Callithrix jacchus: one gene and its partner. The protein of the gene in region 1 purifies or fractionates together with the protein of each later gene. This does not show direct contact. Links are inferred from orthologs where the notes say so. Each region holds a gene or a part of one and is shown in the gene's direction. Other genes may lie near its edges.

Region 1 (6,261 bases):
GCTCATTAAACAGTAGCTTACCGTTCTCTCCTTCATCCCAAAATGCTAGTTTTACCTATCGGTTTTCTGCTGTTCTCTTGTTCCAAAGCATATTTAAAATCAGTCTCATTTAATAGGGTTAATATTTTGAGGAGGCCTTTAAAGTGGTGTGCAGTGAAGTGGTGTTCATTTCAGTCTGAAGACAGTTCAGATATTAAGTGATCCAAACAACTGCATAAAATATTTACACACCTCACAAATGGAAAGTAACAGCTTTAGTTCACATCCAAAAGGTGGCCAATAACTATTTGTGCCATGGTTGAGGTTTTATGTTGAGTGAACCTGGAAGAGCACACTACTTGCCTTGATGGTCACATTACTTTCAAAGATAACAGGCACTAACCAAAACTTAATCTCCTAAATTATCTAATTCGAAATTACGCTCTTGGCCGAGAAACAGATCATTTTGTCTGTTGACAAAGAATATTAATAAACGTGCCCTTGAGATTCATGCTGCAAGACTGGTAAAAACGTTGAGACTTTGAAGTAGTTGCTTCATTATGAAAACTGCTCATTTTTTGACATGTAAATAACCCTTAGAGTGTGTGTGATCCAGTAACTTTTTTTTTTTCTTCTAGGGAAGAACAGTGATTATTGAGCAAAGCTGGGGAAGTCCCAAAGTAACAAAAGATGGTGTGACTGTTGCAAAGTCAATTGACTTAAAGGATAAATATAAAAATATTGGAGCTAAACTTGTTCAAGATGTTGCCAATAACACAAATGAAGAGGCTGGGGATGGCACTACCACGGCTACTGTACTGGCACGCTCTATTGCCAAGGAAGGCTTCGAGAAGATTAGCAAAGGTGCTAATCCAGTGGAAATCAGGAGAGGTAGGAATGTTTGTTGTCACTACAGTGTTCTAAACTTCAGTATACTTTAAGGCATTAATTCCTTGAACCTAAGGAAAGTGTTTGTTACTGTAGGAAATTGATCCTTCTCTCATTCCTCCTCTTGGCCTAGAGAAATCTTAAAGTGGGTTTTCCTTTAGTAAGTAGTGATTGAATGCCAGACTGTGTGGTGGGTGCTGTTAGGTAATTTTGATGTTTTACTTAGTTGATTTCTTTTGTTTTTAGGGACAGAGTCCAAGCCAGACCACAGTGGCACAGTCATGGTTCACTGTAACCTTGAACTCAAGCAATCCTCCTGCCTCGGCCTCCAAGTAGCCGAGACTGTGGGCATTCACCACCATTCCTGGCTAATTTTTAGTTTAGTTTTGTAGAAAGTAAGACTAGACTGAATCAGAAAGTAATGTTTTCCACAATTTATTTTTTCTTAGCACAAACTGTGTTATTGGTTTGTTAGTGCTTGTAACTGGAGTGTAACTTAATTTGCTCCTCACCATGAGCTTCATGGCAGTATGAAGCTGATAAATTTTAGTCCCATCTTTTGTCATTTATTAGCTGTGTGCTAAGACTTGGTTTTCCTATCACCAGAATTGCTATATGTATATCTAGAGTATGTTAGGGTTCAAACCTGGAACCCTCTTGAGAGTCATGGGGGTGGTGCTATTGATAATTTTTTTGTCATAATTGACATACTGATGTATTACTACATTACTAATATATCATTACCTTATCTATTTCAGTGTTTATGGGTCAAGTGAATACACTGCACTTAAGCAGTTTTACTGTAAATCACTAACATATTAAGATTAAGAGGACTTCCCAACACCTTGCATTGGATTTTTTTTTAAGTATATCTCTCAAACAGGAGAGCTAGCACTATTCCCAGTTAAGCAAAATGAGACTTAAAAAACTAATGTATAACAAATATTTTGTTAGTTCATAATACATACTAAATTAAGTGAAAGAATTTCAAATAATTGACACCTGTAGAGACATAGTCACAACAAATTCCTATCATTTAAGAACTATACTTGTTGAAAGTAAGGGAGTGTTACCCATTTTGGTCCTTTTTTTGCATCATCTGACAGACATGAAAAGTGTCAGGGACGGGCAGCATGATTGGGTTAGAAATGATTTGCATAGGATGAGTTCAGTGGAGAGACTCTTGGAACTGTACACATCTGCCTTGTTTTAGTCCAAGCATAGATACATGCCTGTAAGTACCAGCTACATGGGAAGCTGAGGTGGGAGGATCGCTTGAGCCCAGGATTTCAAGACCAGCTTGGGCAACATAGTGAGACCTAATCTACAAAAATAAAATAAGCTGAGCATGGTGCCTTGAGCCTATGGTCTCAGCTACTCCCTCGAGCCCAGGATGTCAAGGCTGCAGTGAGCCATGATCTGTGCTACTACACTCCAGCCTGGGCGACAGAGCAAGTGCCTGTCTCAAAAAAAATTTTTTTTTAAGTCATTAAAATATTTGTTATGAATCTCAAGATTTCTACTTGACATAGAAGCCCTGAGAGAAATAAGCATTGTAATGACATACATTGTTGAACTAGGTGTGATGTTAGCTGTTGATGCTGTAATTGCCGAACTTAAAAAGCAGTCTAAACCTGTGACCACCCCCGAAGAAATTGCACAGGTAAGGACTTAATATGTTACACTTTTTTTAAAAAAATTTATGGCATGTGTGTTTTTTTTTTCTCGATCACACCAATGTCAGAATAACAGTATTACCTAATCGTCAGTATTAGACTCATTTTTTCTTACTGCTAAAACATTTGAAAAGAATTTTGACCATAATGATTGTCATTTAGTTCTATGTGTAGCTGTCATTTTACTTCTATGTGTAGTTGTCATTTTAGTTCTACATGGCTGTAAAATGGATTAGTATGATTGTGAAAATGTTCTTAGCCATTGTCAAAGGTGCATAAGTTTTGTCAGTTAGTAGTATCAGATTTGCCATGTAAAAAGATACATATTGTTAAAAGAATAGTTTTATATATCATGTTTCTCAAAACAGTGTAGTTAATGAATCAAAAAAGAGAAAGAACTAGTACTTCATGAAAACTACCATATCGTAAATTTTCTCCCTGGAATGTAAGTGTCAGTTTGGAAGTTACTGGGAAAAGATGAGGGAACTGACTGAGGGCACTAGCCTTACCTTTTAATTCAACTTGACTATTTCAGGTTGCTACAATTTCTGCAAATGGAGACAAAGAAATTGGGAATATCATCTCTGATGCAATGAAAAAGGTTGGAAGAAAGGGTGTCATCACAGTAAAGGCAAGTGTGTTTGTGTTTTTAAAAATAGTTTGAATGAGTTATCTGATGATCAAAACTGAATTTTCCAAGTAGAAAAATTTTATGTGTTTTAAATACTGTGTGGTTTCATTTCTTTATATGTGGTCTCAGCACATGTATAGAACAAAGTGCTTACTGTGTTTTACGTGAATTAGCCTTTGCTTTGTGAAATGAATCCATCCTAACTTAAATATTGTCTAGCCATAAGAATTATTTAAATAAGCACTTTTGGGATTTTTGCAGAAGTGAAATTGGATATCCTGGGTTTTTTCATACTCTAGCCTATATTCCTAATGACCAAAGGGGTCTATTTTTGTTAATCTGGCCTGTAATTTCATGTTTTGTGTTCATTGAAATCCGTATACCTAATTCTTTGTCTTTTCATAGGATGGAAAAACACTTAATGATGAATTAGAAATTATTGAAGGCATGAAGTTTGATCGAGGCTATATTTCTCCATACTTTATTAATACATCAAAAGGTAAAAACAAATCTTTTAGACAGAGTCTTATTCTCTGTTGCCCAGTCTGGAGTGCAGTGTTGTGACCTTGACTTACTGCAACCTCCACCTCCTGGGTTCAAGTGATTCTTGGGCCTCAGCCTCCAAAACAGCTGGGATCTAAGCATGTGCCACCATGCCCGGCTAATTTTTTAATTTAATTTAATTTTTATTTTTCCTTAATTTATTTCTTCATTTTGAGGCAGAGTCTCACTGTCACCCAGGCTGGAGTATAGTGATGCAATGTTGGCTCATCACAACCTCTACCTCCCGGATTCAAGCAATTCTCCTTGCTTAGCCTCCCAAGTAGCTGGAATTATAGGCAGGTGCCACCATGCTCAGCTAATTTTTGTATTTTTAGTAGAGATGGGGTTTCACCACGTTGGCCAGGCTGGTCTCTCTAGCTCCTGACTTTAGACAATATGCTCACCTCAGCCTCCCAAAGTGCTGGGATTACAGGCATGAGCTACCGTGCCCGGCTACTTTTTGTATTTTTAATAGAGATAAGGTTTAGCCATGTTGGCCAGACTAGTCTTGAATGCCTGGCCTCAAGTGATCTCCCTGTTTTACCCTCCTAAAATTTTTTAAACGTACTTTCCTAACGTGTGTCAAACTATGGATGTTAGTTGGTGTCATCCTCTAAAAAAATAAATGTGTGTATTCCAGAGATAGAGTCTTGTTCTGTTGCCAGGCGCCAGGCTGGAGTGCAGTGGCACAATCTCAGCTCACCGCAGTCTCTGCCTCCTGGGTTCAGGCAGTTCTCCTGCCCCAGCCTCACGAGTAGCTGGGACTACAGGCGTGAGTCACCACGCCCAGCTAATTTTTGTATTTTTTGGTAGAGGCAGGGTTTCACCATGTAGGCCAGGATGGTCTCTTAACTTTGTGATCCACCCGCCTCAGCCTCCCAAAGTGCTGGGATTACAGGCATGAGCCACCGCACCCAGCCTGGTCACTTTTTAAGTGTGTTGGAACCTTGGTTTAGCTTTTCATTTAAATACATTGTATTCATTTTGTGTATTTTTGAAATCTTCATTATTTTTACAGGTCAGAAATGTGAATTCCAGGATGCCTATGTTCTGTTGAGTGAAAAGAAAATTTCTAGTGTCCAGTCGATTGTACCTGCTCTTGAAATTGCCAATGCTCACCGTAAGCCTTTGGTCATAATCGCTGAAGACGTTGATGGAGAAGCTCTAAGTACACTTGTCTTGAATAGGTAATAGGCAGTGGTATTTGATGATTTATATTTCTGGATGAAAGAATTATTTGTATTGCTGTTTGCAGTCTCCATTATGTGTACCTCCACATATGATCTACTTGGGTTTTTATCTAGAATTGTATTTGTATAAATCAGATATGCTCTGTGTATCTTCATATTTGTGTTTTTGAATGGGACTCCCCAGTCTTTACTATTTTGTTCAGCTTTCTCATAGAATAGACTAATTTAGCCCATGGGTACCTTTCTTTATTTTGCAAGTGTTTACAGTTATTTTGAAGGTATGTAACTGAATCTTGTTTTTTTTGTTTTTTGTTTTTTTTTTTGAGACAGTCTCACTCTGTCGCTCAGGCTGGAGTGCAGTGGCTCAATCTCGGCTCAAGCCTCCTGGGTTCAAGTTTGAATCTTGTTTTGTTTTTAAGGTTTTTCTGGTTAAAAATATATACATTTTCAGAATATTATTTTGGCTGGAACAGGGAAGTAAACAGGTAACATTCTAAACAACTCAGTTGGGCCAGGTGGGTGGCTCACCAGAGATCAGACGAGATCAGCCTGGCTAACATAGTGAAACCCCGTCTCTACTAAAAATACAAATAGTAACACGGCATGGTGGCCCAAGCCTGTAATCCCAGCTACTCACGGGCTGAGGCAGGAGAATCACTTGAACCCAGGAGGCGGAGGTTGCAGAGAGCTGATACTGTACCTCTGTCTCTAAATAAATAACTCAGATGTAAGTGTATTTCGCTATCAAATATTTTTATTTATTTTGAGGGACAGACTGTCACCCAGGCTGGGGTATGGTGGCACGATCATAGCTCCCTGCAGCCTTGAACTCCTGGGGTCAAGCATTCTTCCTGCCTCAGCCTCCCAAGTAGCTGGGACTACACTTGCATGACCACACTTGGCTGATTTTTAAATTTTTCTGCAGAGACAAGGTCTCAGTATGTTGCCTAGGCTAGTCTTAAACTATTGGTGAATCTTAAGTGATTCTCCACCTCAGCCTCCCAAAGTGCTGGGATTACAGGCATGAGCCACTACCCCTGGCTGTGATCAAGCGTTTGTTCTTCCTTATCTGAAAATTGAAGTACTTCAGAAGCAAGACTTTTCTCTCTGCTTTGCTATAGTAGAAATGCACACATAGCAGGTATATTTTAGACATTATACATGTTGATCTGACCCAAAAGCTCTTAATGAGCCTCCTTACCCTGGAATGTTTTTCTTGGCTTGGATTTGCTTTTTCTGAGGAATTAAATAAAGACTTGAAGACATGAGGTCAGAAAAAAACAAGCTTACAGAGTTTTCATTAGGCCATTTTATTGCTAGTTGAAAAATGGGATATCCAATTTACTTGACATAG
Region 2 (6,905 bases), on another chromosome or scaffold:
TTATGTGGGTGTGACAGGGCTTGGCTTCACATTCCACAGATCATCTCTGCTGATCAAAGCAGTCGATGCTCTTGCCTTGTGGCCACATCCCATAGTGTCCACTGTCAGTCCCTGACCACAGCAACTTGACGTTCCTAGAAAATTATGCGTAAAGTACAGGAAGGCTTTAATCAGGGCTTAATATTCAATAAGACGGATATGTAATGACTCACGATACTTATTCCTAACTAGATTCTTCTTTCTGTATTCTGTTTATTAAACGGGAGTGGACTGAGGCTTCAGTCTCCTGCTTTGGCACTTACGAGCCTTTTCTCCCACAGAGCTGAGGTGCTGGGAGTGAGCAGATAGGAGACCCCAGGGTGTGGACGGGCATGAGAATGCCCATGCTACGCCTAGAATGGAGGGACAGACACAGGAGGAACAGTTAGAGGGGCCATGGTGGTCAGCAGTGTGTGGACTGAGCCGAGCTGAGCGTGCTGGCCATCAGGTGTGGACACTCAGGCCACCAGCCATCTCTTTTGTTGAAGTGAAATGAAAATAGCCTTTTTCCTGATTATAAATTTCTTTCTTTCTTTTTTTTGAGACAGAGTCTTACTTAGTTCACACCCAGGCTAGAGTGCAGTGGTGCGATCTCGGCTCACTGCAACCTCCATCTCCCAGGTTCAGGTGATTCTCCTGCCTCAGCCTCCTGAGTAGCTGGGACTACAGGCGCCCACCACCACTCCTGGCTAATTTTTGTATTTTTAGTAGAGACGGAGTTTCACCGTGTTGACCAGGCTGGTCTTGAACTCCTGACCTCAGGTGATCTGCCCAGCTTGGCCTCCCAAAGTGCTGGGATTATAGATGTGAGCCACCGTGTCCAGGCCTTAATATAAATTTCGTTATAAATTAGTAAATTATATGTTTATAAATGAGTTTATCCATTAGTGATATAAACTATTATCATTTATTGTAAATATTTTTGCAGTGTATGATGATGAGAGGTTTTTTAAATTTTTTAATTTTCTACATAGTAGTTTTATGTAGATACCAAGGTAATAGTATTCACATGGTCAGATTTGTCACTTTCCTTTGCCTTATCTGACTTTAGTTTCCTTTCTTTTTTTTAAATTTTTACTTAGAGATAGAGAGGGAGGGAAGGAGGGAAGGAGGAAGGAACCTGACTTCAGTTTTCATGCCTAAAAAGTTCTTCCTTACTCGTAAACCCTACATTTTCTTCAAGAACTGTTTTTAATTTTTATTTGAATTTTTTACAGCGGGAGGTGGGAATGGAGCATTTTCCCCCCAGATAGTGAGCCATTTTTAATGCTATTTATTAATGTATCTATGTTTTACATTTTTCCTCTTAAAAGAAGCTTTGAGAACTGTATGAAGAAGCCTGATGGCGCCAAGTTAGGCCTCTTGAGAGGCTGTGTGGTGAAGACCATGGAGAGATGTTCGGGGGCACCAGCTCCTCCTTGTGCCAGAGGCTGGTGGTGGCCGTCACAGTGAGCAGGGCTAGCCAGAGGAGACGGACGAGTGTCCTTTGTCCCTCCGTGGCATGCTGGGAGACAGCGTGGTGGGGAGGACAGGGAGAATGGAACGCGCTCACAAGGAAGAGGTAGGAAGGATGGAGCCCTGATGAACCTTGAACCGGAGGTAGGGAGAGGCCAGGATGTGTTGGAAGCAGCAAGAAGTGAAGGAGAGGGAGACTGAGGGGAGGAAGCAGAGTCACTGAGGCCAGGTGGCAGGAGCTCAACTGAAGAAATCAGGTTGGTGGTGGGTTTTCCGTGTTTTACAGGACCTGCCAGTCTGCTGCTCCTCCAAGGCCTCAGTGGCTGTGGCATGAAACATCCTGAGGGGCTTGTAGGGTGGACACTGTGTCCCTCACGTTTGGGCCATTTTTCAGGTGGAGCCTTTTGCCAGCTTGACCGAGGCCGTGCGGAGCTCAGTTCCCCGACTGCTCATCAACTGGGACTTGGTGGGGACCTTGGCTTGGCATCCTCGCAGCAGGGACGTGACCCAGCTGGGGGACCTGATTCAGAGTGTGGAAAGGCTAGTGGAGCTTCTGGGCTGGACAGAAGAGATGCGGGACCTTGTCCAGCGGGAAACTGGGAAGGTACAGACTGCTGAGCAGCGCCATTCAAGGGGCTGCCCTCCTCCCTGGTATGGTAACACAGTGATAGCTGACGATGCTGTTAATCATGCACCAGGCACTGCCCGGACCTGACTGGGCATTACTTGCAATACCTTCATTTAGAGATGAAGAAACATGCTAACAGGGCCAGGAGGGACACGGTCCAGGCACTCGGGGCTGATGAGTCTGTCGTCTTATCACACTACAGGCGTTAGCTTCACCCTGAAATAGAGCAGCCAGTAGTGCACCTCAAAGGCCTGGTAAATGATTCTGAGATATGGGTTAAAGCACTTTGAGAAGCTAAAGTTCTCTGCACCTGTGTGGGATGAAGGCCACCCTAGTGATGCTTTCAGGAAGTAATTGCTATGAAAGCCATCTATCTATTATAAACCACTGAGGAAAGCCAGAGAGAGCCTTGATGCTTTCTAAGAGGTTCCAAACTGCCTGTAAACAAGTGAGGTTACGGAAAATGCACTTTCCCATGAGAATCCTGTAGCATGTATAGCCTTGGTATTAAGGGTTTTCAATGGGAGGTAGCATGAAGCACTTAAAGTCCTGTGTTGTGATTACAGGCAGGTGTGACACTGTCCAAAGGGGATTTCACCAGCGTATGAGTCTGTTGTCATGCTGCTACCAAAGGCATACCTGAGACTGGGTGATTTATCTAGGGAAGAGGTTTAATGGACTCATAGTTCCATTTGGCTGGGGAGGCCTCACAGTCACGGTGGAAGGGAAAGGAGGAGCAGAGTCACGTCTTACAAGGCGACAGGCAGGAGGATGTGTGCAGGGAACTGCCCTTTATAAAACCAGGTCTTGTGAGACTCACTACCACAAGAACAGTGCGGGGAAAATCTGCCGCCATGAATCAGTTACTTCCACTGGGCCCTGCCCTTGACTTGTGGGGATTATTACAATTCACGGTGAGATTTGGGTGGGGCCACAGCCAAACCGTGTCAACCAGAATGTATCACAGCTGATGTTCTTGTCTTCCAAGGCAGACATCAGGAAACCCTGATTCCTTTTCCTTGCCCACAGCTGTGCCTGCCACGTGGCTCAGGGCCACGGGTTCAGCACTCTCTTCACCTCCACCAGTCAAAGACCCCCAGCCTCCCGTTGCAGGCAGAGTTTTTACCAGTCACGATCACTTCATTATGGAAGCAGGGGACCCAGCTAACATGAGGCTTAAACGTTGAGAGGCGAGTGCCTCCTGGCCAGCTCATGAGGTAGCAGAGATCTTAGATCAGCCTAGCAGGCTTTTTTTGAGGGAGCCTTTTCCTGCTACACCTTCCTTTATTTATTTTTGAAACAGTGTTTCGCTCTTGTCTCCCAGGCTGGAGTGCAATGGCACAATCTTGGCTCACTGCAACCTCTGCCTCCTGGATTCAAGTGATTCTCCTGCCTCAGCCTCCCGAGTTGCTGGGATTACAGGCGGCCACCACCATGCCTGGGTAATTTTGGTATTTTTAGTAGAGACGGGGTCTCACCATGTTAGTCAGGTTGGTCTCAAACTCCTGACCTCAAGTGATCCACTCGCCTAAGACTCCCAAAGTGCTGGGATTACAGGTGTGAGCCACCACACCTGGCCCAACTTCCTATTTTCAAAAAAAAAGCAGATTGTAACCCAGGTAGCTCCTGTGGATTTTTGGAAGTGGCCCAACAGGATTTGAACTGTATAATTTTACAGAAATTTTTGTGAAATGTATTATGATTTTAGAGTTTCTTGTTTTTTATTTACTATCCTAGGGGTTACTTTTCCAAATAGTGAATATTTTTAAGCACATGAGCATCAGTAAATCTTGATTTGGGTACTTAAATTCCCTTAGAATGAGGCTCTCCATTTAGCCACCCTGTTCTGCCCAGGCCTGTTGGGATCCTCGCAGCCCAGCACAACAGCATCATTTGCAGAAAGCAGCTTGTTTTGTGAAATATTTTGCATATCTGCAGCTAGATCTGTGTGACCAGAGATCTGCAGGCTGCCTGGATATGTTAACAGACAACTGATACCTCTGTCTTCTGTGTTCCAGCTTGATGGACCAGACAAATAGGATGACGGCTGCCCCACGCAGGAAATGGTGACATAGGAGCCATCCACATCCCATCTCTGATGAGACCTCATGCCTGAAGACAGCTTGGGCGGGTTTACATGTTTGGTCAAACCAGAATATGTGAACTGAGCGGACATCTGAGGCTGCCACAGGACTGTCTTCCCAGGCTATGAGCTGTGCTGACTGGTAGGGCTGTTTACATTCAGGGGCACCCGACACATATGCAAAGGAGCTGCCTGCCTGCCTGCCTGCTTGCTGTGTTTAACTCTTCACTCTGCTGAAGCTCGGAATGGAAAAAGCTTTCTTCTGACAGGGACCCTCTTGAACTGAAACAGACTAGAATCCCAGACTGGGTCTGCTTTCTTTGTGCCAAGTCCCTGTCTGAGGGCAAGCTCAGCATCCCTGGTTAGAAGATCCAGACTCGGGCCGAGCAGCCCCCAGCCCTCTTCGTGTCCTGAAGTGCAGTCTTGAGGCCCTGGTGCTATACTTCTAGCATGTTGGTCTCCTTTAGTACGGCTGTTTTTAGTTAGAGAAAACCTGTCCTTTATTTTCAGCATGAAATACATTTTAGTCTCCTCAAAGGGACTGCAGGTGTTGACATGAGTTGGAAAAGTAACCCTGGGGTACACAGCATCCCCTCTGTTGGAACAGTCCGAGGATTGAAGGCACTTGTCTCTGGGTTTATTGGAGATGGCCCAGCTTCTTCCTCTGAAGGTGGTCATGTTCTGTTGACTTTGAAACATCTGTTCCAGACTATTCTAGCACTTTCTCTCTGGTCTCCTTGTCCCCACACTGCCCCCCAGCCCCAGGGCTTCCTCCAGTGACACCGCTAGAGCTAATCTCTGAGACTAGTGAGGAGGAATTACTCACTGAAAACCCAGGCTGAGTCCTGGCCACCTGCTGGATTGTGACATAGGAGGGAGAATCCACTGAGCTCCTAGTTCTGCACAGGCTGCTGCTCCTGGGGCTGCACCAAGGCCCAGCTCTGATGGCTCAGCCCTTCAGGTACCAGTGGCTTCCCCTTGGGCTCTTACCCACATGCAAGCAGCTCCTCCCTAGCATCAGATCACCTGCGTGTTTCCCCAGACAAAAGCACTTCCTGTTCCTGAACATTGCCTCCCCTGGGCTGAGCTGACGGGAATCCATTTAATGACTGACTCCCAGGAAGGGGGCTCTGACTTGGCTCCTCAGTAAGAACGAAAGACAGAAGTGGTGACCTAGGAAAAGTGTTGAATTCTAAAAGGAATGAAATTAGTTTCTAACTCTAGTTAATATTCCTTTACCTGATTTCTTATTTTTTGAGAGTGTCTCTCTTGTCACTCAGGCTGGAGTGCAGTGGTGTGATCTCAGCTGACTGCAGCTTCCACCACCTCCTGGGTTTAAGCAGTTCTTGTGCCTCAGCCTCCTGGGTAGCTGTGATTAGAGGCGTGGGCCACCGTGTTTAGCACAGGGGCTTAGCCATCACGCTTAGTGTTTTTTTTAGGTCACATCTTTTTTTTTTTTTTTTTTCCATTTTAGGTTTTGGGGTAACACTTAGTATTTTTAAGAGACGGGTTCCCATTGTTGGCCAGGCTGGGTTCAAGTGATCCGCCTGGCTCGCCCTCCCAAAGTGCTGGGGTTAAGGCGTGAGCCACTTTAACAGTTTACATACATATTCACACATATATTTTTGCTCAGAACTCTTTATTTCAGGATGATGTTTCTGTGTCTATGTGCGGTACATGGTATAAATCTCAAACTGTGGTCACACGAGGGGCATCCTCCTAAGTCTAGTCTAAGCCAGTGGGAAGGATTGAGATTTAATTGCCAGAACCAGCGAGAACTTGGGCACTGTGGATACTACAGTGGGCAGCTCAACAAGGACCAAGGAGAACACCTGGGAGGCCTCCAGCCCTGCACCCAGTGAAGACAGGACAGAAACCACAGAGCACACCTTGGAGTGTGCGTTCTGACACACTTGTACGTAAAGTTCTGCCAGGTTCTTTCTCCCTGTGAAGTGCAGCACATCCCTCAACACAGCGGCTCTGGCCCGCATGCCAATCTCAGATGTGCTTGCTCTGTGCACACCCACGCCCATCCCCCTGCCCTCCCATATGCACGCTCTTCTGTATGCCCAGGTAGGCCCTGCCCTCAGGCAGCAGCCTCTACACACATTCCTCTTGGCGCAGACAAAAGAAAAGTACTTTGCCTGCAGAATTCAAGGCTGAGCTGTGCGTTCTTGCACAAGACCACTGCAGTCCTGAGATAAACTGAACCAGGGGCAAATCGTGAACAGAACCTGGGGAGTAAAGAGAAAGGGTTTCCAAGATGGAGAGAGGGGTGTGGGCCCAGGGGATGTGGCTTCTCCCAGGTTACAGCCCCAGGGAGTCTCTGGAAGCAGCACCGGTTCTGACGGGAGCAGAAGAGCTGCCATCCTCAGTCAGGGTCTGAGTCAGGGTCCGAGGAGAGCTGCTCCTCCATAGTCTCGCACATGGCGTCCTGCAGGGACGTAAGGTGACCCCGAGGACTCATCCCCATTGGCTGGATGACTCTGTTCCTGTGGGGAAAGGTGCAGTGGGGCTGGGGAAGGGGCCCCGCTGGCCAGGCAAGGGTCCTGCTGACCCCTGGCTGCTACCTTCCTCTCCACCAAGTAGGTAGGCTGCTCCCATTTACTGGGGAAGCCTGATTGGACTTTCTGTTAATTGGGCCCAAATCCTAACTGCTACCTCATGGCTTTAAGTAGATTCTTAATTGAGACATCTAAA

Evidence for each region.
Region 2: the proteins of HSPD1 (region 1) and SIRT3 purify together in Homo sapiens (affinity purification with mass spectrometry; 3 studies listed by BioGRID and IntAct, counting the BioPlex papers as one, with this or other methods). This does not show direct contact. The link is inferred for Callithrix jacchus from reciprocal best matches to the Homo sapiens genes HSPD1 and SIRT3.

What each region holds. Positions count from the first base shown.
Region 1 is NC_133507.1:118,454,176-118,460,436, reverse strand, and holds part of HSPD1 (60 kDa heat shock protein, mitochondrial), read left to right. Parts: intron 1-617; coding exon 618-870; intron 871-2,447; coding exon 2,448-2,530; intron 2,531-3,078; coding exon 3,079-3,174; intron 3,175-3,579; coding exon 3,580-3,673; intron 3,674-4,735; coding exon 4,736-4,904; intron 4,905-6,261. UniProt on the Homo sapiens protein: Chaperonin implicated in mitochondrial protein import and macromolecular assembly. Together with Hsp10, facilitates the correct folding of imported proteins.
Region 2 is NC_133511.1:131,713,584-131,720,488, forward strand, and holds the end of SIRT3 (NAD-dependent protein deacetylase sirtuin-3, mitochondrial), read left to right. Parts: intron 1-1,888; coding exon 1,889-2,098; intron 2,099-3,446; exon of another isoform or gene 3,447-3,564; intron 3,565-4,140; coding exon 4,141-4,161; 3' UTR 4,162-4,922; downstream 4,923-6,905. Other genes in the region: RIC8A (chaperone Ric-8A), read right to left, coding at 6,292-6,439.